4 linked regions of the Struthio camelus genome follow. The protein of the gene in region 4 interacts with the protein of the main gene of each other region in a biochemical or structural test. Links are inferred from orthologs where the notes say so. Each region holds a gene or a part of one and is shown on either strand. Other genes may lie near its edges.

What was found.
Region 1: the proteins of MPDZ (region 4) and CRHR1 form a complex in vitro, tested with the Homo sapiens proteins (2 studies listed by BioGRID and IntAct, with this or other methods). The link is inferred for Struthio camelus from reciprocal best matches to the Homo sapiens genes MPDZ and CRHR1.
Region 2: the proteins of MPDZ (region 4) and KIT form a complex in vitro, tested with the Homo sapiens proteins (2 studies listed by BioGRID and IntAct, with this or other methods). The link is inferred for Struthio camelus from reciprocal best matches to the Homo sapiens genes MPDZ and KIT.
Region 3: the proteins of MPDZ (region 4) and HTR2C form a complex in vitro, tested with the Homo sapiens proteins (3 studies listed by BioGRID and IntAct, with this or other methods). The link is inferred for Struthio camelus from reciprocal best matches to the Homo sapiens genes MPDZ and HTR2C.

What each region holds. Positions count from the first base shown.
Region 1 is NC_090966.1:3,503,002-3,510,281, forward strand, and holds the start of CRHR1 (corticotropin-releasing factor receptor 1), read left to right. Parts: upstream 1-4,101; 5' UTR 4,102-4,422; coding exon 4,423-4,470; intron 4,471-7,280.
Region 2 is NC_090945.1:56,830,694-56,838,431, reverse strand, and holds the start of KIT (mast/stem cell growth factor receptor Kit), read left to right. Parts: upstream 1-4,416; 5' UTR 4,417-4,502; coding exon 4,503-4,569; intron 4,570-7,218; exon of another isoform or gene 7,219-7,357; intron 7,358-7,738. UniProt on the Homo sapiens protein: Tyrosine-protein kinase that acts as a cell-surface receptor for the cytokine KITLG/SCF and plays an essential role in the regulation of cell survival and proliferation, hematopoiesis, stem cell maintenance, gametogenesis, mast cell development, migration and function, and in melanogenesis.
Region 3 is NC_090952.1:25,398,217-25,405,445, forward strand, and holds the start of HTR2C (5-hydroxytryptamine receptor 2C), read right to left. Parts: upstream 3,361-7,229; 5' UTR 3,288-3,360; intron 531-3,287; exon of another isoform or gene 474-530; intron 1-473. UniProt on the Homo sapiens protein: G-protein coupled receptor for 5-hydroxytryptamine (serotonin).
Region 4 is NC_090982.1:21,775,401-21,783,403, forward strand, and holds the start of MPDZ (multiple PDZ domain protein), read right to left. Parts: upstream 3,008-8,003; 5' UTR 2,990-3,007; intron 2,869-2,989; exon of another isoform or gene 2,794-2,868; intron 2,250-2,793; exon of another isoform or gene 2,158-2,249; intron 1-2,157. UniProt on the Homo sapiens protein: Member of the NMDAR signaling complex that may play a role in control of AMPAR potentiation and synaptic plasticity in excitatory synapses. Promotes clustering of HT2RC at the cell surface.

The sequences.
Region 1 (7,280 bases), on a different chromosome or scaffold from region 4:
AATACAACAGGCTATTTTAAGACACTCAGAAATTGAATGAGATGCTTAGTTAGATCTTAGTTCTTTGTGGGTTTCTCACCTTCCTTAAGTTGGCTTTTTTTAATTTGCAGACACTGTTTTGGGGCTCAGTGTCCTTGGCCCCCTAACAACATGTCACAGTACTGGTCCACCCACCCAAGCTGGATATGGGTTTAGACTTCATGAACTGGTAGGGAGTAGCTCACACATAGGTTGGCTTTCTATGCATAAACATGGTGAACACGTGGTGTCTGCCACTGCATCATCCAGAAGCTAGCGCCAATGTCTGACTTTTATCCAGAGCATTAAATTGAGATGTATGAACATGTGGCAAATCCCTGCTTACTCGGAACAACGTCCGTGTTTGATGCATGAGATGAGCATGAGCGTCTCTTCTTTGGCTTGCTCCTTGCTCTACCTGACATGCCAGAGGGAAACACCTTCCAACTGAGTGGGGAGTTTATCTCCTTGAAGCACTCAGCCAAGCCAGCTACTAAATGGGGGGGTTATCTCCCCCCTTTGCCACTTCATCCCCATGGAGCACATTGTAGAAACCAAGCAACAGTGGCAAGGCCAAGGATGAAGGCTTCCACCAGCAAGCATGTAAGAGTAGCCCTCCCAGGTCAGCTCACAGGTGAATCTAGTCCAGCACACTGTCATGGTCTGTAGTCAACCACAGGTGTCCAGGGAAATCAGGGAAATGCAAAGCAACAGGAATCCTTAGCAAGAGCTCCTTGGAGCGCACTTCCGACTTCCAAGGACTGTGGCAGAGGGACAGGCTGAGCCAGAGGCAGCATGATAAAACTTAACAGTTCTTGCATTATTCTACCACAAATCTGACCCTTTGTGCATTAGCACAAAATCCCTTGGAGTGAGGATAGGGAAGCACTGGGCTAGCTGGGCTCTCTAGCACTAAGTATCTCCAAGAATCAGTAGACAGGCATCCATTACGGCTAGTCAAGGCAGAATACTTCCTGCCTTGGAAAAGAGGACAGACTAGATAAATCCTCCAAGGCTCAGTATGAACACTGTTAGAGCTATCTGATCCACACCTACCTACCAATAGGGAAACTGAGGTATAGCCCCACAATGGTGATCTCAGCTGCGGTTTTCTGCAGCCAAGCACACCAAGAAGTTATACACTAGACTTCCACTAGCCTGGCCTGAATGTCCTGGACTCTGACAGTCCAAACAAGATTTTTCTTTATTTTTTTTTTGTAGACATCACACTGGTAAGTAAAGCCCTGTGGCTCACACCTAGCAGTGCTAGAGCATCAGCTCCACATGGGAATTTGGGACACGTGTGCTTAGCTCCTGCATGTGCAAGCAGCAGTCCTGGTTGCCTCCCCTTGGCCATGCCATGCAAGAGGGACAGGCACAGCAACATGCTCCGGTTTTCTCTAGCTGCACTCAGCACGGGGCGAAGGGCCGGCTGCAGGGTGGATGGGGACAACACCAGCAGCACTGTGGTTGTGTAAGTCACGCGTACAGCGCCAAAGTGCAGGTGTCCTGGAGCTGTTAGGAAACAGAAGTGTCAAACCATGTGCAGTTACATAAAGAAATAATAATGTACCAAAGGCAGATAAAGTCATGCTAAATCACTGCTCTCCCTCCTTCCTGGATATCCGATATTTCTCTTCATTTCCCCCATCCCTAATACCCTTCTCCCACATTCATCTCTCTGCTGCACGGAGGAATTTGAGATTAACCATGACGAATGGAGTGATTTCCTTGTCTAGGGGACTGTTTTATTTTTCCTCTGCCACATCTGACAAGTTGCATTTTCCTATAAATCCCCTCAATTAGGCCTTTAAAACAGCACTGCAGTCGTTTCCCTGATATATGGGGAAGGAATTATCTTAATGTCCCTGGCAACCACTTCCTTGACTAAAAATAGTTTGGGTGCACTTTCGCTTCCCTCCCATCACCCCATGGTTTTGGCATCTGATAAGAGCATGGTCACTGCATGCATCTTGCCCAGAGGATGAACTGCAAGGCCTGAGGAAGGGGAAAACTGATGCTTTTGCCTTTTTTCTCACCGTGACCAGCCTCGGTTCGCTCTTCCTGTGCTCAAGAGGGGCGTGGGAAAACAGGGTCAAAGCCTGCTTTGCCTGGAGGACTTGAACCCGACCTCTTCCCCACTGTCTTTTCCAGGCTCTTCTAGGGTGAGGGAACTTTCTCAAGGCCTCCTCTCAAAACTTTTGCATTTTAAATTGGGCTAATTGAAGCTCAAGGTAATACAAAGGTGGATCTGGAGTCTATCTGGTCCCGTCACTTGTCAAAGGGCTGGGATGTTAGGAGACCTAAGAAATAACAAGTTTCCTGAATTTACTAGAGCTTTACATATTCTCAAACTCCTTTCCCAAAGCAATGACACAGTTGATTAAATCCAGCTAATGCTGGAAGATTTATGTCTGCGTTGTTTATTGCTTTAGTTACTGGGCCAGGAGGATTTACCCTTTGAGGCCTGGGATGAACCATCCACACAGCTCCTGGGTGTAACCCTTGGCTGGCTGCTCACGTGCTACGGTCCAGCCAGCGGCCAGCAATCCTATGTACAACCACGTCAGCCAGGGGTGCCTGGAAGAGAGCAGGATATGACCCTGGCCCCTACATGGTTTGGAGAGAGACACTTGCCACTGACACGTTGGCACTTAGATATGGGAAGGGGGAAATGTCTCTGGTCCCTACAGGAGCATCGTGACTGGAGGAGGCTGCTGGGAAGAAGGTGTCAATGCTGATGTGACATCTCCCATCATCCCTTTATTTTCCCGGAGATGCAGCTTGACTCTAGTTGTTTCCACAAGGAAAGAAAAAGCCATAACTTGCTGACTGGCTCTTTCTCCTGCTGCTGAGTCACTGCAAGCAGGTAGACTCCCGGCACCTTTCCCTGGGGCCAGCACAGCGGCTGTGGTTTGCACCAGCCCCGCAAACCCCAGGCAGGATGTGGAAAGCGTGCCCCAAAACCCTACCCCAACTCAGGGAGCGGGCTTCACCTGGCGCAGGCCACGCCCAGAGATTCGACACCTGGGACATAGGGAAGTCTCTCCCACGCTCACAGCCGGGGCTGACGCATCCCCAAGCACCACTGGAGCTGGCAGGAGTGTCTCATGGTTAGGGTGGAAGGGAAAAAATTAGTCAAGACCCCAGAAGTCTTGTTCTGCATGACCTCTCACTGCCCTCCACCCTCCCCAGGACACTTGTCCCCAACGGACACATCTCCCCCAAACCAGTGCCCCTCTACCCCATTAGTTCAAGCCCTCCTGTTTCTGCTGCATTGCCTGTGCCGTGCCACTGCCAGTCCTGCTGGGGAAGCCGCTCTCCACCCAGCAGCCTCCCACCTCCCCTGTTACTCAGTTTCCCCTGTTATAGCCTGGTCTGCTTCCTCCAGTCCAAAGCCAAGCCTAGGCTCTCCTGGGGCTTGGGCGAGGCTTACTTGTGCTGCAGGCACAAGGATGGACATGGGGCCATAGGGGTAAGGAGCAGCTCATCTCTGCCAGGGAGTTACAAGGCACAGGGCTGCTGCAGCCCTAGAGGAAGCTGATCAGGGCCAGCAGAGCAAGGGAAGACAAGAAGGCACCAAGAGCCCCTGCTCCCTCTCCAGAGGGAGATGCTCAAAGGAAAGGACAGATCCTTGCTCTCCCTTCCCTCAAACCCTCTCCCAGAGCCTTGAGCAAATCCTCCTAAAAGTTGCAGTCAAAATCCCTTTGCATACACACACACACACAAACACAGGTGTCCACAGCCTCCATAAAAGCGCTTGCAGCAACAGCAAAACGCCTGCCTTTGCGGAGGAATAGTCTCCCACTAGAGAGCGGAGGGACAGAGCCGGGGGACGTGGTCCAGGCTGGGCAGGGGCTTGCCTGCCCCACGTAGGGACGCATCCCCAGCAGGGCAAGGCAGGGCAGGGGGACTGAAGGGCTTCCCTGGGCAATCGGAAAGTTTGGGTTGCAAAAGATGCTGAGGGAGGGGATGGCAAGAGAGGAAGAGTTGCAAGGCACCGGGGCTGTGGAGGAAGGAAAAGGGGAGGAGGAAGCAGCGGAGGAGGAGGGAAAGACAGGGGGAGTGGGAGGATGGCAGAAGAGATGTAACCCATCCCCAGCCGAGCAGGGGAGCTGGAAGGTGGGGAGCCCAGACGACCGGCTCGCAGCAAGATTATAAAAGGCAGGAGCAGGTTGCTGAGCAAAGGAGAGGGAAGGCGAAAGGCACCTGCTTCCCTCTGCACAGCCCAGCTGAGACTCAGGGTGGCGGGAGTTGCAGTGCCAAGAGCCTGGGTCCGTGTCGATGACAAGCTCGTTTACACAAAGCCCAGAGGATTTTACCCCAGACAGCATAAGGAGCCCAGCAGAAGTGGGGACTGCTGCCAAACATGCCTGGGAGAGCTGGGCATAGTGGGAGTTAAGGATGATGTCCGGCATACGTCCTACCCTCCTCCTCTTCCTCCTCCTGCAGGTAAGATGCTCGCAAGCCCTCTTCTCCCGGATGGGTTCTCCTTCCTTCCTCCCCACCACCCCTTTGCCTCCTGGACTGCCAGGTTTCTCTTGAGTGACTTTTCCATTGCTTTGAATGAAGGGAAAAGTGAAATGAGAAAAACCATTACCAAGAGCCCCCAGAAGGATTCCTCCAGTCAAGTCATGGGGTCTTGGCAAGTTCCTGGTGACCAAAAAAAGGCGGGGGGTGGGGGGGGAGGGAGCTGGCATCAGTGAAAGGATCAGTCCAAGGGGGGGACTCCCAGCCTGGAAGCAGGGGCTGAGGAACAGGGCATGTCCCCAGGCCCTGGCGGTGGCCAGGAGAGCCCAGCTCAGGGCTAGCAGCCGGGCATGCTGGAGGAGCCAGGGCAAGCTGCCTTGCAGACCAGCCTGGCTCTGCCTTGCACCTCCCAGTGTCACCAGCTGCCACCAGTTTCCCTTATTGTGCTGAGAGAGGGCGGGGGGGTGGCTGCTCTGGGGGTGTGATGGACAGGGATGGCACAAATGCGTAGCCTAATTCTATCCCCTCGGTTGTTTTCCTAAAGAAACTGCTCCTTTTTTCCCCATCAAGCACAAGACTTTCCTCTTTAAATTGTTCACGATGGAACTGTAGCCACTGCTAATTTTGCAGCTCTGCACAAAATGCAAATGCTTTGTCAGAAACAATATTCCTCCTCCCCGAGAGCTCATCGAAAAAGCAAATGTTCCCAACCCAAAGAATGTTTAAATCCCAAACCCTGGGGGGATGACAAGAAAAAAAGGTTTTCAGTGAAAACCTGAGCATTATATCAACAAAACTGGATATGCAGTTACACAAAACAATCAGCTTTTTGCTTAAACGTCTGTGTCAAGAGGGTGAAAAAGAATTTGCATGGCTCTCCACAAAATGCTGTCTCAATAGCACAGTTGCGATGCAGAGTTGAAACGACAGGAAAAAGCAGCGGGTCATCCCTCCCACCTTAGCACAGTTGCAGTTTGTATCCCATGGGCTGGTTTCAGAGCCATGCACCACCCAGCAGCAAGATCAGGGAGAAGAATTTAGCTTCACATTTGGAATAAGAAAGTTCTCACTTAAGTGATGCGAAGAGCTAATACGTGCCAGCCAAGCCTGCTGCCAAGTTGGTGTTGCTTTTTAGAAGCTCCTCTTCTGAACAACCTGCTTTCTTCTTTAACTGCATAGCCCTTATTCTGTTTTATGAGAGCTCTTCTGCGGTTATGTTACCCAGTGCAGGTTTTGTTTGGCTCTGATGTAAGAAAAGGTGAGGAAGAGCAGCCCTGCACCCATGCATGGGGACAACATTGGCAAAGCAACAACGCCTGCGCAAGAGAGGCAGGTTCTGCAGTGGGCAATCTTAGTCTGCCCGCCGAGAGTTCAGTCTTGTGAGAAGCCCCAGCTATTCCTGGCCATGGGCAAACAGGTCTCCCGATAGTGCTGATGGTCCTCAACAACCACTCCGGCAAACTGGAGACTACCCCGATAGTGCTGATGGTCCTCAACAACCACTCTGGCAAACCGGAGACTACCCAACCGCATTGGCCAGCCCTGAAAAGAAACGCTCAAGCAAAAAAGTACCCCTTCCCAATATAATTTTTTTCCTGAGAAACATATGCATTCAGAATTCAGCCCCACTTTCAGCACAGTCCAAGCCCCTGAAAGCCCCAGCACCGCAATTTTCCCATGTGGCCATTGCACGGGGCCTTGCATGGGGTCTAGGAGCGCGGCCCCAGCCATGTGTGAGGCCAAGCTTCTCGTCTCTAAGCACTCTTAGCCGCATGGGCTAAAAGTGACCACGAAACTGTAGCCCAAAGGGAGAGCGTCCCTGCAGCCAGGCAGACCCAAACCAGCATCCAGCCAGGAGCGCAGAGACCTGCAGCGGGTGCTAATCTCTCCTGCTTCGGCAGGTTTTGCAGGCTGCAGATCTCTGAGCTGGCACAACTAAGGTGTTTCCAACGCACCTGGCTGTCAGCTCCAGTTTAGCATAGGTTTGTCCCCGTTGCCTTCCCAGGTAGACATCCCTTGGAGAAAGGACAAACGGACAAAGAGATAGGCAGCCAAACTTGAAACAGGCTGCAAAATGCTCTTTTTGTGCCCTACAACTCATTTAAACAAACGAAACAGAAAGAAACAGTTCACCTGCAGTTTTGTCAGGGACTGATGACATTTCTGGGGCTGATAAAGTCCTATTATTTTATGAAAATGAGTTTGATGGGGTGGGGGGTGGGAGATTCCCCTCTCCCTTGCCCTCCTCCACATCCAGTAACAATAAACATGAAAAAGGGCCACCACCCCTTCGCTACTCCAATCTCTGCAGGAGACGTGACGCCTGCAGCAGCAGGACGTGCTGACCCTGGGGATCTTCCAGTCCTGGATTTCCTTAAAAGCCTGAGTTAATTCTGGGTGTGTGAAATCACCCCCGTGATTTCACATCTCCAGTGAAAAAGCGAATGGCAATGGCGCAGCCTGTTCCCAGAATAGCTGCTGTATTGCCATAGGATGAATGTATAGAAATACAATGAGTCTAGCCTGCGGACACCGTTCGACTCCATCCTGAAATACAGCCCTGCTCCCCAGAAATTCAGCGGAGAGCCTGCTGCAGGTCCAGCCCAGAAGTCTGTTGTGAGTGATGAGCTCAAGATGAGGTCTGAGTCCATCACCAACCCCCAGTGAGCAGGATTTAGAGGGGCTGGATCTCACTCCACCTTTGCCAGTTGGGGTAGAGAACAGTTTTCAGGCTCAAAAGAAGGGCCAAATCATTAGCAGAGGGTCCCTGAGCAAACTTAGCCCAGGAGCCA
Region 2 (7,738 bases), on a different chromosome or scaffold from region 4:
CGGATGTGTCTCTACAGTTATTCTGGAATGTTAAATTTGTCTGGTGCTTTGCTTAAAAAAAACGCACCAACAAACTAAAATAAGAAAGACCCAGAAAAATCCCACTTGAAAAAAACCCTTTAGCGCTAAGTCACTGAATGGAGTTACAGAACTTTTACAAATTGAATCCTGCAGCTCCGGCCTTCAACAGTGGCCTCTGCAAGTAAAGTAGCAAGCGATAAAGGGCAGAACAGTACTTTGCACTTCACAAAGACAAATCTCTTTTCTTAGCAAGATTGTAGGGTATAAACTAACAAAAATGCTATCAGGAAGATTAGAGCCTTTATTTTCCACTTAAGCTTACACCGATAAGACAGTTTTTACAATAGTGTGCTATGCATGTGATAACACGAGATATCTTTAAAAATAGTGTAATATTTCAAGCTTCAATGGCAATTATATCTTGGCTCTTGACATTTGATGCTAGAAAACTCTTTAATTAACTAGGCTAGCAATAGTGATGTAAGATCACAGGCACAATGGGATTCAGTGAGTATTTTACAAAATTGGATTAGAAGGAAATAAGAGATACTTTCCACTTTAGTAAGACTGAATGGTCCATCTGAAAGTTCATATTCTAGAGGGGAACAACATAAAGGTGTCCACTTTATCTGCATTAATTTTAGAGTCATTCCTGTTAAAAGTAATGGAAAACTCTTCAGTTAAGCTGCATGGAAGACTTTAAAATCCTCCCATTTACAGATGAAACCTTAAGATACAAGTCTATCAAATACCCTCAATTGTCTCCACCCAATCCCCCTTCTACTCTAGCAGGAGGATGCAGGAGACTGCAAAGTTAATAAAAATAAAGGCAAAGGGATGTCCTGAAACCTAAAGCCTTGCAGGAAACAGTCCCAGATGGTTCCAGTTGGTACACCTTGGCATACCAAGTCTAGACCAGCAGATTTCCCTTTTTTTGTGTTAGTAAACAAGAGGCTTAGAAAACTCATAGTCACGGTTTTGTCGATTAAAATTAAGATACAGCACAGTGATGAGTATGTGTTCTTGCATGGTAGTCATATGACATTCCTGATGGCTGCGCTTCAGAACTGCTGTTTTCGATGAATGCATCAAGCAGAAATTTAACTACTTTTCACTTTTACAAACTGTAACAAACTTTTATGGCAATGATGAGATAGCAACTACAACACTTGTAAATCAATATATGTTTCAAAGACTCATAGTTTCTCAAAGCCTTCAAGTATTAGAGGTGAGTTAATTCCAGAGTCATCCGGATTGCAGGGGCTTCCCTTTTCTATGGAATAGGAATGTCCTAGAGTAATATCTCTTAGTCTACAATTTAGAAAAAGAGAGTGCAGTCTTATAGAAGAATTCATCGTCACACAGTTTATCAGGAGGAATTCTAGCAGGCATTGACTGGCTGTATCAGAAGAGTATTTTCCTCTCTTCTCATTAGATATACCTTGCCAGAGATAAAATAGATTCCACAGATTATTTATACTGAAAAGATTTAGTATAGAAAGGTGTTCACAGACCTAACGAATACAGCGTTTGATGCTCTCAAACTAGCTGAGATAATTTCCAGACGCATTTGCATTCAGATACAGAAATTATGCAAGTCCTTCATTAGTTCAGCAGTTGTTCAATGACATGAGCATAATCTTACCAATATTATCGATTTATACAATGTTTACTCCAGTAGGCAGTTCCATGGATGTGGACAAGACCGCTGATGACAGTAAATATAGTCTTTTGAATTGGCTGTTTAAAGGCGCCAGTCCATATTTATGGTTAAATCACCTGAAGGATTTCAAACTGAAGTGAGTTTTCCAAATAGAAGGTTTCATATATTTCTCCAAGCTTATCATTTTTATCTTCAAAACCATTGTTTCTGGAGTCTGCGGAGCTTCACCCCCCCCCCCCCCCAGATGTCAAACTGCTGCAAGTTGGTACAAGCAGACAATCAGAAGAAATGGCATTATCTATCCTAACATATTGCCATGGTACCACAGTAACTGAACACAGGAACATGTGAGGGGCTACCTTGTCTGGCTGCAAATGCAAAATAGACCTGTTTTGGCTTAAGGTCATATGGTCATATCTTCTGGAAGAGAGTAAAAAGACCCAAGGGAGTCCTCTTCACTGATTAAGGGGAAACGCTTGTTTCCCTTTATACTGCAAACAGAATATGGACGAGACAACTCTGCCTTACATGCAGTTTTCAATGCAAGATGTTGGACAAAGCAGAACTACATTTGTCATTATGATTATTAAAAATAAATGAAGTGGCAAGGCTACACCTAATTCACCTGTGCCTCCCACTTACTGCAGCTATTTATAGCCATGCAAAGTGCATGTTGCCAAAGCACATTGTTGCCATTCTGATTTTGAGATGTTTAACATTCAGCTAAGGTTGGGCAAAAAAAGGCGCAAGATGCAGGGCAATGCAGTTGGGCTGCATGTGATCAGGGATGTGCAGAGCATAAAGCCAGGCCACTAACTGAAATAACACTAATCAAAAAGAACAGGGAGAAACCTGTCATAACAGCAACATCACATGTTCCTTGATAATGTTGCAGTGGAAACCTCCTGCAGCATATTGTGCACTCCTTTGCATCTTTAAGAACGCAAACTGTAAATGCTCTAAGCCCTTGTAAAAAAATTGCCAAGCCCCTTTTTTTCTCCTGAAAAAAAGAAGCACAGAGACACCTGGAAAATCTAGGTGGCACTAAAATTTTAAGTATTTTAGCTGGTTTTTTTTCTCTACCCAGAATTAATTTGGTGAGGCTCACACCTAGTGAGAAATATGATTTGAAAATGATGTTTGATTTTGAAATTGTCAGTGTGCTAACAAAAATGCATTCTGCTTTGCAGGCAAAGGAAGGATTCACCCATCAAAAGAGACTAGCTGTGGGAGATGAAAGAGAGTAAAGAAATGGAGAGCCATTTTAAACATATAAGACAAGACTTTCATCTAACACTGGACCATATGGGACAGTGCTATTAACCTCGGAAAAAAACTGACAGTACTGAAAAAGCAAAGAAAGAAGATGAAGAAAAAAAATGAATAATTTGCCTTCAATAACTTTTCTGATCTGTACTGATGTGCTTCAAAAAGTCTACATTTATTCTGGTTGCTTTTCCACTGGTAAGAGTTTGGCCATGAGTCCTCTACATCCTTATGAACATTGAAAAAGCGTTGTTTGGGGTTTTCTGACAGTTTATGCGTCCTTTCCCCATCTGCCTGTTAAAAGACTGTGTTGTCCTTGGCTCTCTGGTCAGAGCACAGCAGGGGAATGCATGTACGACTGCTCTGCCTCCAACATCCAGTATCACATGTTACATCCAACTTTCTTTCCCTTCAGCTGTGTGTGACACAAAGGAGAGTTGAAGACAGACATTTCTGCACTCAGAATTATTTCTGCAGTTTGTATTATTTCTGCCCGACGGGCAGCTTCCCTCTCGCTCTGCCGATACAGAAGCCAGTGCTCCCAGATCCTCCTGCTGAACCGTTTGCCTCATCGGGGCTTACAAATCTCCCCATACGGGATACCACAACCTGCCCTCCACGATGCATTTGCAGAATAAATTCTCCTTGCTCTTTGCAAGTGCTTTCCTAACATTTAAGTTTTTTTTTTCCTGAGAACTAAATGGATTACTTTTTATCTTGCCCTTGGGGGACATGAAAAACAATTGCTCGCAACCCTCTTTGTGGGAACCTTTTCCATGTTTTAAGATCCCTGTCAGCCTTCTCTTTTCCGTACCAAACTAGCCCGTTCTTTCACTCTTTCCTTGTGTGTCACAGGGCATACTCGAGCCCTTCCCTTGCTGCTAAAGCGCGACTGCCCAAAGCGGCCGCGGTGGGAAAGCTGGGCTGCGCGGGCCGCAGCGCTACCTCCGCGGCTCGCCGAGGCTGCTGCGACACCTCCCGCAGCCAGAAACGAGCCCGCGGCTTGGGCTGTACCTGTCCTTGCGGGGCTGTTGCCTCCGCGCCGAGCCCCGCCGGCCCTGCCAACCCCGGCGTTGGCCCCAGCTGCGCTCCCCGCGCAGCGCCCACCCCGGGCACCGCCGCGGCCCGCAGGCGATTTCTAGCGGCGGCACTGAGCGCGTATTTGCTCACTGGGTTTTTTTCCAGTTTTCCCTTGTTTGGGGGGGGAGGGGGCGGGGGGGGAGGGAAGGAAGGAGAGGTGCGTGGGATGGTTTGTTTTTTCAGACCGAGGCGAAGGCACCCCCCCCCCCCACCTCCCGCGGAAGGAGGCGGGAGAGTTTCTCACCTGCGCCAGCCCCGGCGGGGCGGGGCGGGGCGCGGGGGGCCGCGCAGCGCGGCGCGGCGCGGCGCGGCGCGGCGGGGCGCGGGGCGGGCGGCGGAGGCGGGGCCGGCTGTACTCGGCAGCCCTGCCGCGGGGGCTCGGGCATCTCTGCGCGCCGGGCGGTGCGAGCGGGAGCGGGAGCGGGAGCGGGAGCAGGCGCCGGGCCGGGCTCGGGGCGGGGGGGGGGCCGGCATGGAGAGCGCGTACCTCGCCTGGGAGCTGGCGCACGCCGTGCTGCTGCTGAGCCTCTTGCCCGCAGGTGGGAGCCGCGGGCGGGCGCGGAGCGCCGCGGGGCGGCGGGGCCGGGACACGCGTGGCGGTGGCGCGGAGAAACTTTGGCGGCCAGCGCGGGCGTCCCGGCCGGGCGGAGCGGCGCGGAGCCGTGCGGTGCGGTGCCCTCCGCGCGGGGCCAGCCTCGCCGCCGGCGCGGGGGCTGCGCGGAGCGGCCGCGGGCGGCCCCTGCCAAGCGCGGCAGCGAGCGCACCCCGGGGCCGGGCACCCGGCGCGGCCCCGCTCCGCCTGCGCGGGACGCTCCGCCGGGAAAAAAAAAAACTCCTTTGTTTGCAAGCGGCGGTTATCTGGGGCAGGGAGAGGGGCCGGGAGGGCGCCCCCGCCCCGCCGCTGCCCGGGCTGGGCTGTTTTGCCAACAAACTCTCGGAATCGGTACAAAACGTGCCCGCGGTGAGGTGCGCGCTAAACAATAGGCAGGGGAGGCGCCGGCAGCGGGGGCCCAGCGCCCCCGAGGGCAGCGGGGCGCCGCCGGCTCGGTGCCCTCGGCCGGACCCGAGCGGGGCCGTGGGGTGCGCGCTGGTCGGTGCGCGGCCGCCCGCCGCTTGCTTCGTGCCAGGGAGGTGCCAGTGGCCCCACCTGCGTGGGGCTGGTGCTCGCGCGCGGGGCTGGCGGTTTCCCACGCGGCATCCGGCTGCGGTGTTGGATAACTTCGAGCAAGGCTTTTGGAGCCGCCGTGTCTCGAGTTGCGCTGTTTGGTGGGTTAAGAAACGGGGTAGTTTTTTTTTTTTGGGGGGGGGGGGTGTCTGCGGGTGCCACAGGGAGATGGCTGTTAGTGTTTGTGGAATTGCACACAGTTTGGACCAGTGCACCAAAATTTGAAAGTGGACAACTTGAAAGGTTATCTTCCTACTCTTCTGCAGGAGAAAGCTAAGCATTAAGGGAAGCAGTGCACTTGCTAGGTGTTGTGAGTGCTGCCACCAACAGAGAGGAGACTTGGAGAGTGCTCTGTGTGTGAGGAGACAGGGGAGGGCTGTGGAAGTCTTCTGGGCCATAGTTTTCCCGTGCTGGAAGCAAATAAAACTTTAAAAAAAACCGAACAGTAGTGACAATTTATGATTCTTTATTGTAAGCACTTTATTTTGGCATGTGAGAAAGGGCAGTATTTGATTTATTAACACTTTTAAATTTTTTTTTTTGGTAACATTTGTGTTTTGTTCCCTTTTGTTTATTGATTAGTTCCAGTAGAGCGCCGTACCCGACAATTTGGACTTTGCTGTTCAGAATATCCACATGTAGGGATATATCCGCACATAACCAGAATATCCACAGACTATCCAAATGCTAGTGCAGTAGTCACAGAGATACAGAACTCTCCTAACAATGTGTTATTCCCTGGAATTTCTTAAAAAGTATATAGAAGTGATTAATATCCCAACAAACGTCTCCACTTCATACTTGTTTTGCCCTGCGCTTGAAGCTTATCCTTCATCTGCCAATTGGACTGTCCTTAAGAAAAGCTTGGGAAACACGTCAGACTGTCCGCATCTCGTGGAGGCCACCAGGTGCATGCTCTAGACTACTGTGGGGCGAGGAGGTAAGGGGAGGTGGGAACCCTTCGATCCTTCATCTGATTCTAGGTTCAGACACTTGTGGGAGGTATTTCCCTTCAGTGGCACATTAGGCAAACTTGTGTTGACAGAAATTCATAGTGTAGTCATAGGCACCCATGACTTGCCGTTGCAAAAGGCAAGGGTCTGTAGGTCCCTCCGTATGTCGTCTGTGTATCACATAGGTGTAGGGCAATTCAGGGCTAGCTTTGTGCTGGAAGGGGTGTCAGAAGGTGGCTCATGTCCTGGCAGGGGCGCTGGGCACACTGAAAGCGACAGGCCTGACAGAGCCTGCTTTGCTGTGCTGGGTTTTTCTGGAGCTGGCTTGACCCCATGTTGCTTTTGGGATTGCCGCAGTGCAGACCCGTGGACTGGATGATCTCCTGCAGGCCCCGTTCAGACCTGCCGTGTTTGTTGTTTATTCATATACAAGCTTATATTAAGTATCTTTTTTTGGCCTTTAAGTCAAGAGCTTTTTCCTTTGGTTGCAACCAAGGAAGGAGGGAGAATGTAGAAAGCAGAGCTGAATGTAACTTGTTGGAGAGGAACCCATTCTTCTTCTCTGTCCCCACCCCCTTCCCCCTTCCCCTTGTCTCTGAACACATGCTTGCACTTTTCCATCCATTTGAGGGTTGCCTAGTCCTCCTTTGATGGAATATTCTGGAATAAGCTTTTTCTCTGTGCTTTTTCCCTATCCTCCCGCGAGGCTCACCCCCCCCCCCCGCCCCTAGTACTCTTTCAGGGTTTTCGCCCTGCAGCCGAGGAAGGCTGGACCTGGTGGCTCCTTTCACTGCCCCTCCTGACCGTTTCCCAGCGAGCTGCAGGGTAATGGGAGGCTCTCCCTCTTCCCCGGGGGGAAGCATGTCTGTGTTCATTTTGCTTCCCGGTACCTGCCAGCCTGGAGGGAGGAAGACTGAAGGCGGAAGATAGAACTGGATAACGATTCTGACTGCTGTCACTGAGTCGCTGTCTTGGCCCCTCAGATATCCCGCCCTCCCTCCTCCCCCGTTTGTTGTGTTGGGCCTCCTTGTTCTGCCTGTCCCTGTTGTCTCCTGCGTCTTTTCCTCCCTCCCCTGCAGCCCTGCGGATTGTCCTGTGCATAAATGTGGCCCAAGGCCACTGCCAGGAGCAGAATGGAAATGTGAAGGATTGTTCAATAGTTGACTCTTTTCCTTCCGTTACAACTGGGAAGCTTTTCGGAGCGAGTGTGTAAGTGATTTTTCTTCAAGCTTTATAATGATGTGATAAATTTGGCAAAGAGTGAGATGCACATTTGCATCCAGCTTAAGTACTGTTCATAGAGACTGGAAGCATTTCCATGTGCTCTTTTTCCAGCAGAGTGCCTCTCACTGACAGATTAGCCCAGCTGCATTACTCTTTGGTTACGCTGGCTCACCATGGGCTTTTCATTTCACTTCAGCATTCTCAGAAAGCTGTTGTTGGTTGTTGAAACAATAACGCTTCTTTGCAGGTGCACAGATTGAGTAGAGGATCTTGACTCACCTCGCAAAGGGCCGTACGCCAGTACGCAGGTGGAATCAACACGGATATGTCTTATCCACATGTCAATACCGGCCAGTAGCAAAGGCT
Region 3 (7,229 bases), on a different chromosome or scaffold from region 4:
CATTATAGGAACTCACAGTAGGTATCTGTAATGGCTAAGCAGGGAAACACAGACAGAACTAAAGCATCTCACTACTACTGAAATCTTTTTCAGTCATACTAAAGAATCAAGTGGAACTTTTATTGAACTAAAGATATTTACTATTGATAAAGCCTTAAATAAGTATAAGAAATGGAGTAAGCCATAAGGGAACAGGGCCAGGAAAAAATTCTTACAGGGAAGAAAGGAAACCTAACAAAACTATCACATACCTTTCAAAAAAAAAAAAATCTTCAAAAAAACTATTAAATTCTAACTGCTGACATACCTGCCCAGTAGTCTCTCTACAGGACAGCTATACCCCTAGCCACCTAAGGAAACACAAACACCACCTACCCTACCACATTAGTCACCCCTCCCTAGCAAGGGCCTTTTATATAAACCTACCCTCAGCAGAGCAATCTGGAGGCTGGTTGTATAAATTTGGCAATGGCAAGCAGCTGCTGCTTATATACAGTAGGGATTTTGAAACAAGAAGCTGCTTCTGTCTGGTAAGTGTGTTACAGTTTGGGGTGGGGGGGTGGTCTTGGTTTCTAATAATTAAGCTAGCAGATTATGCTAGCTATTAAACATAGGATGTAAAAAAAGCTGTATTGGTAAGAAAGTTGCTCTTATAGAATTGTTTAATACAATTGAATAGCCTCTCTGAAGAGGAAAAGAAGTACTTCAATAGTTTCATAAAGCTTTCTAATAATGAAAACTTTTAAAGTGCTAGGAGAAAAAATGCAGTACCTCCACAAGTTTGCTGGGAGTGTTACTGACAACAGTACATCATGGCTCTCAGAAGTATCACCCGTCCTCAAGAAACCTATCTGAGAATAAGGAAATGATAGCAAATTAGAAGTATAAGTCTTTGTAGTCTTTTCTTAGAATTATGAAGTAGAGAGGATTGTATCCCATCAGTGATAGCAGGGGACCAGAAGTAGTATTCCTAGAATAAGAACTGACTTGAAGCATTATCTGTGCTGATATTTACTAAATACAGAACTTTTAGCACTGTAAGTTAGGTGCTCAGATGCTGGGAATGTATCCTAAAGAGCGCTTGCTACAGCTTGACACTTAAGTTTTATTTTGTCAAGTGCCTTTTAAGCCAGGCTTTTGACATGAACACTGATCCTGAATTTTATTCTATCTAGAATGCTGTTAGCTCCTCAGTGATGTTATAATGAAGTTTGTGGTTTAACAGTAAAATCAGTGAGCTGTAACTAATTCATGTAAGGCTTCTGAAACAGTAATGAGAAAAGAAAGGTAGCTTTAACAACAAATAGATTTTGTGTTCTATAGTGTGTCTTAAAATAGTGACCTTACAGTCAGTTTTATACCCTAGAAAGGAAGAAGTGTGATTCTACAGTAACTGTAACTCTGAGCAGAAATAAGAGATGTGCCATGAATAAGCACTTCACTGCAAGGAATTTTCTCCTGTGCCAAAATAATAAGTTTTAAAAGTTAGAAATCAACTAAAAAAGGCTAAATACAAAAGTTAATGTAGCAAAACTAAGATAAGTGGCAGATAGATCTCCATGCTTATGGAGAAGGAAAGTACTATATTCTCCTTGGAAGACACCAACACCAGCCAAGAGGTAGCACAGACCACCATACTGCTCTGAATATATGCTTTAAAGTAGAGCAACTGAAGCTGTGTAGAGTATCAGTATTGCCTTATTCAGAAAGTTATGCCTACAGTGTAAACCTCTAATAAGGTTAATTATGTATATGAAGGAAAGAGACTAGAACAACAGTTCCACTATAATTAAACCAATCGGAGTCCTTTGTACATAACCTTAAACTATATATTTTTAGATCACTAATTACAAAAGAGTATACCTTCTATCATATTTTAAATATAATACTTAGTATTTTGGCTTCAGTTAAGTGTGCAACTATAAGGCAATTAAGAAATGGCAAATGATAAACATCTTCAAATTCTGAACTAGTTTAAGTTCAAAAAACGAAAAAGCTTCATCTGAAGGAAAACAATTATTTCAGCCCTGTAATGCATTAGTGAACTACAGCAAATAAATCTTATTGAATAGATGTCCGTAACAGAAATATCAGAATCTTATAACTACTGTTTTGTAAACTATGCAAGACTTGCCCATTGGAATCCCTTTTTGCAGGCAGCCACAGAGATGTCTTATGTGTCTTAATTAGTATAGCTTTTAGATACATCATGATACTGTTCCCTAAAAGACACTTTGTTCAATGCATGCATACTGCATGCTTACTGAATGGATTCCCTTCTGCTTTTCTACTGTACTCTTTTAACAGTCTGTTCTACAGACATTAATAAATATATCTCCATAAGCCCTTGAAGCAAGATTCCCACAAAAACAGTGGGGATAAATGCACTAACATAGTGCCCAAACTGAGATTTCCTGTTACTACACAGCATGCGCTCCTAACGCTATTTAGCATTTGATCCTCAAAGCTCATATCATTCATCTCAATTACAACAATGAATGATTAGCCCTTCTGAAAATCAGCCCCATACTGCTCTCAAGTGCTTTGAAAGTGCAACTATAGGGACCACCTGTGAAAAGTTTGGGTTAAGTGACTTGCCTGATGTCACACAAACTCAGTGCCAGGAGCTGGAACAAATACAGTTCTCCAGAGAGGTTTTTCTCATCCTTAACCATAACATCATCACAATCTGCATTCCAGAAGCCATTTATTACATAGCTTCTGCAACAAAACACAGGTGTCTGAGTTTGTTCACCACAAACTTTTTAGTTCATAATAGGCTTGTGGCCTTTAGGAAAAGTAGTCTTATCACTGAGACTAGCACCATGATGCATATATCCCCTAAGTAGGCATTTTACTTATTTTTTTTTAAATGTGTCTATGCACAAAAAGTAGCCAAGTTCTGTATTACTGATGCCTATACAGATTATCAGCAGGCAGGGGTTTTTAGATTCATGTTGGAGATGTCTTCCCCTTGGCCTATTACCTTATGCAAGTCTGTTACTGGATGGGGTGGAAGCACACTTTGCCACTGGCTCTCAGTTTAAAGTGCTGTCAGCAGCACAAGAGTGAGGCATTGGACTTTTGTGGTCCACTTCAAGTTGAGGGGGTGTGAGATAATGGTTAGACACCTGTGTTCCTTTCCCTTTTCATCTCAGCTCTCCAGTCCCTTGGGAGGTTAAACGAAGAGATAATGCCTAAAATGTTCAAACTTAAAAGCTGTATTTCTTGTAGATTAGAAGCAGTATAGTGAAAAACGGAAGTGTATAATGGAAATAGTGGCTTACGGTTTTTGTGAACATTGGTTTATGACCTGGTCCAGTTGACAAGTTAGAACGGTGCGTAACATAAATCCATAAAGTCACTTCAATATGCAAAAAACCTGCTTTGGTCTCCATGTTAGCAAACCTAGAAAGATAAGTATAAACTTCAGCTGAATTGTAACACACCAACATAAAAGATCCTGCTCACTTACACCATTCCCCTGTGCATGTGTTTAAAACATTACTAGAATTAGAAGAACACTCGGGTATAAATAGATGTGACTCTGTTCACAAGCAAAAGCAGGGCACAAACCCCGCTCGTGGCAGCGCTGCACCTCACGTTGTGCATGAGCCGCCTCATCTAGCGCTAACAGGGACATTACTAATTTTCTGCCTTCCCCTTCCTCCCAGCTAATTGTGGCACTCTGGATCTTGCGGCGAGCCGGTCGTAGAGCTAAGCTAGCTTAACCGTGCGTTTTGCTTGTTAGTGTGGTCTGCTGGACTCCGAACGGGCTCGGGGAGATGGGACGAGCCCCGCAGCTGGCGGAGGGGCTGCGACACCCCGACAGGCTCAGCCACGGTGAAGTATCACTGAGGGGCAGCTGCCAGGGATTTCCCCCAGAAGCAAGGGCCAGAATCTGGCCTGCATCATCCCCCTCCGCCCCGGCCTGACACGGAGGTCGCCGTGGGCAGTCGCGGCGGGACTGCCCAAGGCAGCTCCTACCCTCCCAGAGCCGCTTTGCCCCTCAGCTACGCAAAGGCCTAAAACAGGGATAAAAACCAAACGTTGGATAAACCAAATGGGGACAAAGCCAACCGAACCGTTGGCTTTTTACACCATCCGAAGAGTGTGAGGCAGTGCCTGGCGAGGGCCGCGGTCTCGGGCAGAGCGTCGGGGCCCGGCGACCGCCGTCCCGGGGCGAGCTGCGCACGGGACCACCCCCCCCCCCCCCCCGGCCCCGGAACCGGCGGCAGCGCGGGCCGAGCGCGCCCGCTGCTGGCGGCGGCCCGCGCCAGGACTCAAAATGGGCTCTCGCCCCTCACAGGCGGCTACTCCCTCACTCAAGATGGCGGCCGTCTCCACTTAAGTGAGGGGGGAAGGAGGAGGGTTGCCCCAATAAAAAATGGCCGCCGCCTCCCCCGTTTTCGCACAGCGCTGAAGCCGCGCGCCCATAGCAAAGATGGCTGACGCCCGGCGCCCATGAGGAAACTGCCTCGAGTGTAGGGAAAGGGAGCGGCGGCAGGTCCGCTCCCGCAGCCCTTTCCCCGCCGAGCCCCGCAGGGTGGGACCGCGGCTGGGCCGGGCCGGGTTGGGCTAGGCCGTACCGAGCCATCCCGCCCCTCGGCCGCTTCAGAACGGGAGCGCTGCCCGGGAGTGACGGGCTGAGCGACCATAGAGTTGGACGCCGGCGAGAGCGGCCTTTTGTGCGGAGGGCGGGGCCGTGGCGCTGGCGGGACCTGCCCGGGGCCCTCCCGTGGGCAGAGGCGGCCATTGCCCCGGCGGGGGGAGCCCCGGGGCGCAGCGGGGCCCTGGCGCCTCGCCCGGGGAAGGTCCGGCGCCGCAGCCGCGTTGTACTGCAGGCCGGCTGCGTCGGTGGCCGAGTGGGCACCTTTCCCCTAGGCTCCTTCCTAAACCTCCCCCCCCCCCCCCCGCCCTCAAATCCCAGCCCTCTTCCGAACCAAAACCTCAAGTCGTTTTGCTCATGCTCAGTTTTATTTATTTATGTTCCCCCCGAGCTGCCCAGGCTTGCTTTTTGGCTTAAATGAGCCTTCACCCCTTCCCCCTCACCTCCCTCCTTCATCTGTTCAGAGACTGCCGCCCCGTCCCCGGTATTTAAATATCTTCAGTCTCCCGCCTGTAAAACGGGCTCCTCTCTCCCTCGCGGGCCGGGAAGGAGTTCAGCCCGGCGAACGGGCCGCGTGGCCCGCTTCAGGCGACGTTTGCCCACCGGCTCGCTGCGGCAGCCAGGGCTGGGAGCCCTCGCGAAAACCAGCCGGATACGTGGACCGTGAGGCGCGTCCTGCCGCTAGCTGCTCAGAGCTGACTACGTTTGGGGCTGCCTCTGCCCCCTGACACCGGTCCTCACGGTGGTTTTTCCCTTGCGGTGATGCTCCGGCCCCAGGTGGTGAGAACGGAAAGGTCCGAGTGCCCCCTGCGTCCTGGCTCGCCGCAGGCTGCGCCGCACCGCCAGCGAGCTGGGGAGGAGGAGGGAGTTGCCCTGGCCATCTGCGGAGGGCATCAGACCACTGGCTCGGAGCCTCCTTTCATCTCAGCAAAGTTTGGACGCTCCGACGCGTTTCCCTTGTCTAAAGCAGTCTCCCAGACAACGTCTTGCTTTTACCGCGGTGCCTCTTTGCTTTTCCCTTCAAACGTGCCCTGGTGGGTGAGCGACAGCCTGAGCGGCTGCGGTGGCCTGGGACGTGTCCTGGGCTCTGCCCGCGAGGAAGAAAAAGCTCTTTGGCAGAAGGGCTCCACGCAGCCTCTTGCTTTAGGGCCTGGCGGTGCGAGAATCCTGCCTCCATCCGCCTTTCCCGCTCCCGGAGCCTTAATTTGGAGCGTGGGCTGCCTGCAGGCTCCTCTGTGCCCTGGCTCGTGACGACCCCCCTGGGCCCCTTCCCTGCTTTCGGAGCTGCTGCAAAGAGGAGGCTGCGTCCGCCTACCCGCCCGTCCCCCCCCCCCCCCCCGCCCCGAGCGCCGGGGTGGACCCGGGGCGGCGGGCGTCCCGGGGCGCACCCTGACCCCCCAGCCCTGCCCGCTGCGGGCAGCCCGCCTCTGCCGGCCTGTGCAGACCTGCAGGCGGCATCAGCAGCCCTGCCGGGCCACAAACACACCCAGCAGGGTGTGAGCAGGCGGCGGAGGAGCCGAGCGGGGCTCTGCCGCTCAAGGACGCCCGGCTGAGAGCTCGGCCCCGGCGCTCACCTGGCGTGCCGGCGTCCCAGCTGCGGGACCCAGACGTCTGCAGCGAGCAGGTATTTCCTCCGTTTGGCTGGCCGCCCTTGCTGTGGCAGCCCGGGCCTGGGGAACGCTGCCCTGCACTGCCATGGGAAGGGCTGAGAGCGCCGCAGGAGAGCGGCAAAAGGGGCTGAATTATCCCCCCGCCTTGCTCTGCATGCAGCTGGGGGGGAGAGGGGCCGGCTGTGCTGCTCCCACCCTGCCCCAGGAGAGAGGGGACAGCGAGCCCAGGGCTGGCTGCGCGGGGGCAGGAGGCTGGGAGAGGGACATCTATGCTGGGACGTGCTGGTCTTATCTCTGCGGGGTCACCCTGCGCCCGCGCTGACCTGGGAGCTCTGCCCTCCCCTCCGCGGGGTGAAGGGGCAGTGCTGGGTGCCAGCTCCCGCTGCCCTGATCTGCGGACATCCCGGCTCAGCCCCGTTCAGCAGGTGAGCGGGTTTCACCTAGCCCTGCGACCAGCGTGGGCCCGTGGCCACTTGGTCATCCTGCGCCAGCGCTGCTGGGGCACCGAGGTCCCTGCCAGGCTGTGAGCACGCACGCTGCTGCAGCAGCAGGTATGGGACCCCTGCAAGCTCCCCGTGCCGGGGCTTGGGGTGTGCTGTGGGGGTTGTTCAGTAGGAGCTCCTTCAGGAGAGCTCCCGACAGACACCCCCCCCCCCCAGCACCTTGCTGTGTGTTTTTTCCCCTCCAAGCCATAGAGGAAGCTGAGCAGGGTCTGCAGCCTACGCAGCCCAGCTCTGCTTGGGACCTGTGCCCGCCGCAGGGGGTTTGCATGGCAGCTGCTGGTATCGCTGCTGCATTCGAGCTCTGAGCCAGGGGAGCAAGGTGGTGTTTTCCCTTTGCACCCCCTGAGGTGGCACAGCACCCTCTGGAGAGCACCCAGGGTGGGGGGGACATGTGTGACGGGCCCCTGCTGCGCCTCTGGCAGGCTCCGGTACGTGGCAACAGCAGCCGCTGGAGCCTGGCCGCCTGCCAGCACGGGGCTCGCGGCGCAGGCCGGGCTCAGCTGCGGA
Region 4 (8,003 bases):
ATAAGCAGGCTGCTCAGATGCAAGGAGCAGGTCTGAAAAGCCTGTGAGAGAAATACCCCAATACTGCCTCGGCAGTTATTCCAGAAGCACGAGCCAATAGTACCACAAAGCATTATTTTAAGCAAAAAGAGGGCACTGAAAACAAAATGACATATTTAGATGTTGTCTTGCTGGGAATTCCAATTGGCGAAACAAAACTACCTCTACCAATGGTAAGACTGTATGCCAACAGCATGGTACTCCACTAGCTTTAAACTGCTTTAATGGAGTGCTTTTAATGCAAAGCCATTTAGATATAAAGTGTACTAAATCTTATCTACAGAATTTTAAATTTGCTTATATGAAACACGGATCAGATGATTTAAAGGGTCTTTATAACGGTTTTCACTACAGTGATTAAAGAGGGATCAATTAAAAAAGAAAAAAGAATAAGAAGCACAGATCATCTACAGTGCTCTGAGTGACTAAAAAGTTGTATGGCATTAATCCCCCCGGGGCTCACAGACACAGAGTCAGACAGAAAATTAGTATGTAAGCAGTGCAGCTCTTCTTTCCCTAGTGTTGATATTGATCTAACTTTCCTAGTACGCTTTCACGTTAAGAGAGGGAAGAATGTATCCAGCTCCTGAAGAAAAATTTCTTGAGAACACAAAGGAAACCATTAGAAACTGTTACATGCAACTGTTACATGCATGTTCCTGTTAATAACATGGAAGTACAAAAAATATATTCTAAAAACTGACAAAAGTTTTGGGGGAAAAAAAAGCTAAGATGATGCTCTCTATCATAAAACTTGTTGCTAGTTAATATCTATGTAAATATGTCCTCAGATATTTTAGTACTACGCTCTTTTCTTCTAATGTTACACACCTTTCCATTTGCCTGTGAGCATCAAGTAGCATTTCCCATTAACATTTTACTACTTTCCTCCTTCCTAGTTCAGATTCTTCCCTCCCATTCAGTTGTTATCTAGGGAAATGCACTGCTGATACTGATACCAACTGGCATTTCAAAATAAACTTCCAAGAACTGCAGAATTCAGACCCTTTAACACAGTAGGCCACTGCTCTGCTTGAGTAAAAAACCCGTGCTGCACTTTCTGTTATCAAAACCACTAATGACATCTTCCATCCAACAGGCTGTACTAGGAAAATTTCCTGCAAGCGTTGAGGAGCAAAAATATAAACGGCTGGGGTGCTATTTTGACCACTGCAGGAAAAAAAAAAAAAAGGACGAGGAGAGAAAAAGGATAAAACACTGTTCAGCAAAATAATAAATCAAATCTGTTAAATGCAGTACAGGGAGTTAAGCTGCCAGCTTTGTGACAGACTATTATTCTTTCCAATAGTTTATGAATGTTCTTGAAGGAAGAAGGAAAATCACACAGGAAAAGAAATTACTCCGAAAACTATACCTTTCTCTTAATATAACTTATGCAGTATCCATTGGCCAAATCTATCAAAAGGCAAAATTTAGGCCCCTCTAAAGGCACTGTGTAACGTGGATTAACGTTTAAATAAATACCCACTGGGCTTTAGAAAGCTGTAATTGAGACCATAACTGCAAGAACTCCCCAACGTCAATAAAATAACTGATAAAGAAAGATAAGACCAAAAACACTGGTGACCTCTTATCAGCAGTTACAATGACATCAAAGAGCCAGCCAGTTTTTATGGAGTCTTTCACACAGATCTGCTGCACAGAACTAGTGGTTTTGGCTGGGCCTTTTGAGTTTTGCTGGTTTTCACTTATAACTGAGTTTTGGCGCCACAAGACCTGGCTGAGAACCTAAGCGCCTCCAGGACCACCGACTTGCTAAGCAAAGTAGGGGCAGTGGTGGCGTCTGCTGCGGGGGGTCCGTCTCAGGGCCATCGCCCAGCACTGCTGCCGCCGCCGGCTGCTAGCGCTGCGCAAACCCTCTGGCACAAGCGGTCCAGGAGGAGGCTGGTTCCCATCAGTCACATCCCACTCGGGCTCGACGCAGGCCACTGCGCATGCAACATGTCTGCGGCATGTCCCGTCTTCCCCCTCCGGCCGCAGCACCCCCCCCACCTCACCCCCCCACACACTCGGAGGGCAGGGGATTTCAGAGCCGAGCTCAGTCCTCCCCGAGGAGGGAGCGGTAAACACCACCACGGCATCACTCGCAAAACACACCTTCCAAAATAGGTCTCGGGTGCGCAGAGCGCAGCAGGTGAGAAGCCGGGGGGTGAGGGAGGAGACCTTCTGCAAAGATGAAAAAATCCCCACTGGGAGGAGGAAAAAAAAAAAAAAAAGGAGGGAGGGGTAGTAGGGAGCGAAAGCAAAATGAAAGCCAGCCTTGCAGCAACAGGAGGAGACCCGGCTTTTGTTTACATCGGGAGGAGTGCCGGGCAGGCGGGCCGAGCCCGGGGAGCATCGGGCAGGAGGCGCGGGGCGGCCGGGGAGCCCAGCCCGCTCCCCGCCGCCCCCCCCCCCCCGCCCCCGGGCACACGCAACAGGCTCCGCCGGCGCCCGCAGCTCCCCGGCCCCCTTCCCTCCAAGGCCTCTCTTCTCCTCCTCCACACCGCCACCACCCCCTCCCCCGCAAAACCCAGCCGCTCGGGAAAATAAATAAGTGGAAAATTAAAAAAAAAAAAAAAACAGAACAACTTTGCGAAATAAATGAAATAAATCAAATGCACATGAAATAAACTCAAAACTCCCTTACGGCCGGCACCCCGCTCCGTGGGGGCCGGCGATGGGCGCTGGCCCCCTCCCTCGCCCCCCCCCGCCGGGGCAAAGCGCCACCGCCGCCCCCCGCGCCCCGCTTACCGCGCCGGCTCCGCGGGCCCCGCTCGCCGCCTGCGCCCTGCCCGCCCCCGCGCAGCGGCGCCGAGCCCAGCCGCGCCGCGCCGCGCCGCGCCACGCCGCGGGGGCAGCGCACGCAGGCACGCCCCGGCGGCCCTGAAACCTAATCCTGCCCGCCGCCCCCCCCGCCGCTCCGGCGCGGCCCCCCGCGCTCGCTCACCGCCCCGGGGCCCCGGCCCCGGCCGGCAGCGCGCCCCGCGCAGCGGCGCTCCCGGTTTGCAGCGTGGGTAGGACAGAAAAAAAAAGGGGGGGGGGAGAAAAATCGTCTTAGGGCTTCCCATCCATCTCCCTCACTGTTGGTTTTAGTTTGGTTCGGTTTGGTTTTTCTTTTGCATTAGCGTCCCCTCAGTAAACTTCCTGCGTTTGCTGCCGGCAAGGCGGCACACTGGGCAGAGGGGCTCAGCACGCAGAGATGTTAGCCTACGTGATCAGATCTAAAAGTAGGTTGGTGCTAATTTTGTTTCTCTGCACTAATTTTCTCCGATTTCCCACTTTGAAGGGCTGCTTGTAAAATTAACCAGGTGCCATTGAGCTCCCCTCTGAATATTTAAAAAGATGCTATGCGCTGTCCCTCTAAGAAACTCTTCTACGTTTTGTAGATATGCCCGCTGCAAAGTTTGGGCCTGGTCTGCTAACTCATTCTGCCACAACCCACCAGTGCAAGAGCGTGCCACCCCTTCTTGTTCTCCCAGCAAGCCACCGTTTTTTTGCCCTAACACAGTCTGAACAAAATGAGCCCACGTTTGAATGGGGAAAAAAAAGGGAGTGTTTGGAAATAAAACATGATGGAATAAGACAAAATGATGAATAATGTCATAGGACTAAATAGGAGGTAATTATCCCTCTTTTTGAGCAATTGCAGATTAGTGTCTTAAGTAAAAATGTGAAGATGCTGTATACCTTACACCTACGTATAAATGTCATAAGACTAAAGAACATAAAGCTAAAATGATTGCTATGACAACAGAAATTAGTTCACCAAAAAGTCCAAGTGTTTTGCTTTTTGTTTGTTAAATTTGCTTCTTCTAGCTAATGTGGTTAGGATCATGGTCTACCCTTGTTGCTGCCAAGTATGTTTACTCAGTCAGCTCTGTTGTGATAACACCCTTCAAGCTAAAAAGAAATCTGGAGTGTTCTACTGAATACGCCATCTCTGCAGAAGCTGGGTACTTTGTAATTTTGCTTGTCTTCTCGTTTGATTTGTTTTTCTCTCCAAACATATTTGAATTGCAAGTGTTATCATATTCGTGTGATAGTTGTTTTTTTCTCCCATAAACAATTTTTTAAAAGTCATTATTTGCGAGATACAGTGGAATACCATTCTAATATTTAAAAGAAGATCATTAAGTGCAGCCTTGGTGAAGGCACTTTCACGAGTTGGAAATTTCTTGTGTAAAGTTTAAGATACATGGGTCTTTGTACACTTCCAGGATTATTTTGATTGTTTTAATTTTGCACATTATCTTTTGAAAAAAAAATTACCCTACACTGTATTTCTCTTGTTTATTACAGCTGTCAGATTGAAGAACTCCAGTTGATTAGCTTCTTTTTTGTCTGTTGTACATGGAAGTGCATGTAATCACACCTGCTTGACAGTCATTCTTCCATAGCTTACCTGAGAAAAACGTAACCATTTTCAAGATCTGGAAATCACACGTTCACATTTTTTGATCTAACATTTGCCTGTTAACATACTGATCCTTTAAATTAAATGTTGAGAGTCGATTTGCTATAGTTATAAAAGTGACTGCTCTATAAAGCGTCCCACCAGCTTTCCATGTTGCATGACTCCAGAATGAAATATTAAAAAGAAGGTACAGCTCGTTTGTGTACATCATTATTCAATCTATAAAAGAACCACAGTGGGTTAGATGAATGTAGAACATTCAATGTAGAATTAATAACAGAATTAGTAACAACTATTGTTATTAATTCTGTTGCTCTGGCCTTGACCTTGACATCCCTCTGAAATATAATACAGTGACACTAGTAAGCATATTTGCAGCTAAAAATGGGCCAAAACCAAATGGCAGTTTATTCTTTCCAATGTATAGCAATATCAGCTGTGCAGTAGTTCTTCCCATTGCAACTTGTATTTGTGTGGGATATATCTTCCAGATAATTCTTTTAATACACAATCTGCTATTCTCAAGTAGAATTTCGTCTACAATAATATTCAGATTTTACCATGGCTGTCGCAGTATATATTAAGTAGATTATACTCACTGAAGTTCAAAGAATCATGCTACCTTAGGCCTTGCCTGTATTAAAAGTATTTGCGTGGATATAATTATACCAACTTAGCAGCACCCTCAAACCTAGCCGCCTGGTAAACAGGCGGCAGCACATCTGTACCAGGAATTTGCATCACTGTAACGTAATGAACTCATTTAAAATAACTGATTATCTTCATGCTGACACAGTTTTCGCAAGGAAAAGTATTGAGGGTTGGAGTACAGTAGCTGTCCTGCAGGTCTACTTGATAACCAGTTTAGGGAGATGACTAGACAGACACCCAATAGACAATTCATATTTACTTGTTTCTTCTTTCCACAGAAGGTGCTACCAAGTAGGACAAAAAGAGAGTCATTTTACAGACTCCACACTGAGTAAAGCTGTCACCTCTGCGGCTGCTTCCCAGAGAAGGAAGGTTAAGGGGTGGGCTGGGTGGTGTACGCTGTCACGCAGGGCTTGGGGTGGTGTCATGCCTTCGTTAGTGCGGGTAGCGTACCGGTCAGTACGGTATAGTTTTGAACTATACTGTTATCCTTAAACTGGGAGGGAAGAGAATCTACTTTGCATGCCAAGTATAAATGTGTTTACAAACTAAAGATTAATCAATTTGTCTACATATAGAAAAGCATGTAATTTTAAATAAAAACTACAAATAGCTTTGTAAAACAAGTTTTTCTCAGAGACTTGCTATTATGACAAAAGTAAGTAAAGTAATACTTCTAATTACTAATGTAATAGTCTGTCAGAAAGGACTCTTAAGGAGGAGATGAAGAGGGAACTAAAAAAAACATTTGATTTTGTCTAATATTAGTCTCCAGTAATATTTCATTTCTGAAGCCAATTTAAAAAATGCTCATGGAAGAAACATCAATATTGGATGACATGTCTGTCTTCCTGATTTACTTCTGGTATTCACATCTTGCTAGTAAAATAGCACAGATTAGTGTTAATGGTGTACTGCATAGATTTATTAGAAGACATGAAGGAAAAGTAAATGCACAAAAAAGTATTTAGAAATAGAAGCATAAGCATCCATTAAGTCATCCATTAGACCACCGTTGGGAATGTAGTCTTTTAAAATGGTAATGGGAACAGGATCCAGCAAATGAAATGTGAGTGCGTCTGATTCCACTCTTTTTGACTCACAAACATTGACTTCCCTGGAAAAAGGATGTTGCCTCTGAAGGACATTTGACTGCATTTATGGCACAAGTCAGTCTGTCTCCTAAGAAACAGATGTATTGACAGAAAGAGTTGCTTAGTCTAATCACTCTGGGTATTGTATTTGTGCGTAGACTTAGCTGTTGGATGTTATCGATGTGTATGTTTTATATATTTTTTTTATATATATAAAAGACACACACATGTATAATTTACATATTTGTATATTTATATAGACATAGTCATAGATATGTAAGTATTGACTTCTCTGCTTGGCAAATTCCATTTCTGAATTATGAATAAAACCCAAGGAAAGATTCCAATAAACCTTTTTCATAAGCACTACCTTAATTAAAAATAAATTTCAGTTTTTATACCTTACCCTTCAATACTTAGAGCATAATTTTGGCCACTGTATATGCATGTGAATGTATGAATACATAGACACATTATTATACTTTCGAATAGAGCATTTGTTCATAATTTAGACTAAACACAACTATTAACAACCTTCCTTGTCAGAAAATACTAATAATTATAAATCAAATGTTATTCCCAGATGTGTGCGTTAAGAGTAATCTATTGCATTAACTAGAACTAAATTGTAGAAAACTAATCTGACATCAAAGGTAACTGTGATCGTAATTGTTATAGCTGCTAATCCAAATATATTAAGCATGTGGTTATGCATTCTATCCTTATCTGTCCAAATAAGGCTGCATCAGTATTTTTCTTCTTTTTCATGGAACTGGTTAGAATACAATACGTGTGTACTACGTTTTCCAGAAGTTTTACTAATAGAAGCATACAATCAAGTTAAATATAACACTCTTCTCCTCCCTCACCTCAACATAAAAGTTACACTTCGAAAGTCAGATGGCAAGAAGTAACTATGCAGTTGGAGGGAACACCATGCATGTTATTATGCAAAGTTGAAATTACGAACTTTCTCTTAAGTATGGTGTTTGGAATTTATTCCATTTTTGGATTATTGTCCTGGCAAGTACAGAATATTAGTTTCACTTACTGGAGCATACATTTTGGCAGGAATGTTGCATAGATTTACATTTTAAAGGTTTTTAGGGAAATTGTCTCCCCTGCAGACATACTTCATAACTGTTATTATTGCTATTGGAGGTTACACATGTGTCTGGAAGAGAAAGTATGCCCCGGAAGGTAGAACAGAGTAAAAAAAATCATAAAAGGTATGTTAATTATTCTCAACTACAAAACAAAAAACTTGAAATTATGGCAAATTAAAAGGGCATTTATTTACATACAAACAGGATTGTTTAATACCACAGGCCTTGCCCATAGCAGTGAAGTGAAGCCAAATAAATGACAAAGCATGTTAACCTTATCGTAGATTTTTCGGACACAGAATACCTGCAAGGAGAGTCTGGTTTAGTCAGATTAAGACTGGTTTTAAAAGTGTGGGGTTTTCCCCAAGGTAGCAACAGTTTTGACAGAGCTCACTCACAGAAAGTCTAATTTAAAGGGCTTTCTTCAGAAACACTTCAAGGGACACAGTCCAAAAGCAACATGTGATATGAGGTACTCATCAATGCAACAGTTGTTCCAGTATTTAAAAAGGCAAGATATCTTTACAATAAACTTCATGTTAGAAAAGTAGGTAGGTCCTATATGAGATTGCCCTGAGTTTCAAAAAAACTGGAGTGGGAAGAACTGACCAGCTGAGGACTTCATATGTAGTTGTTTATGTTGATGTTACATATTGAAAATGATAGCATCTCTTCTCTTAATAGTGGTATTGGTTA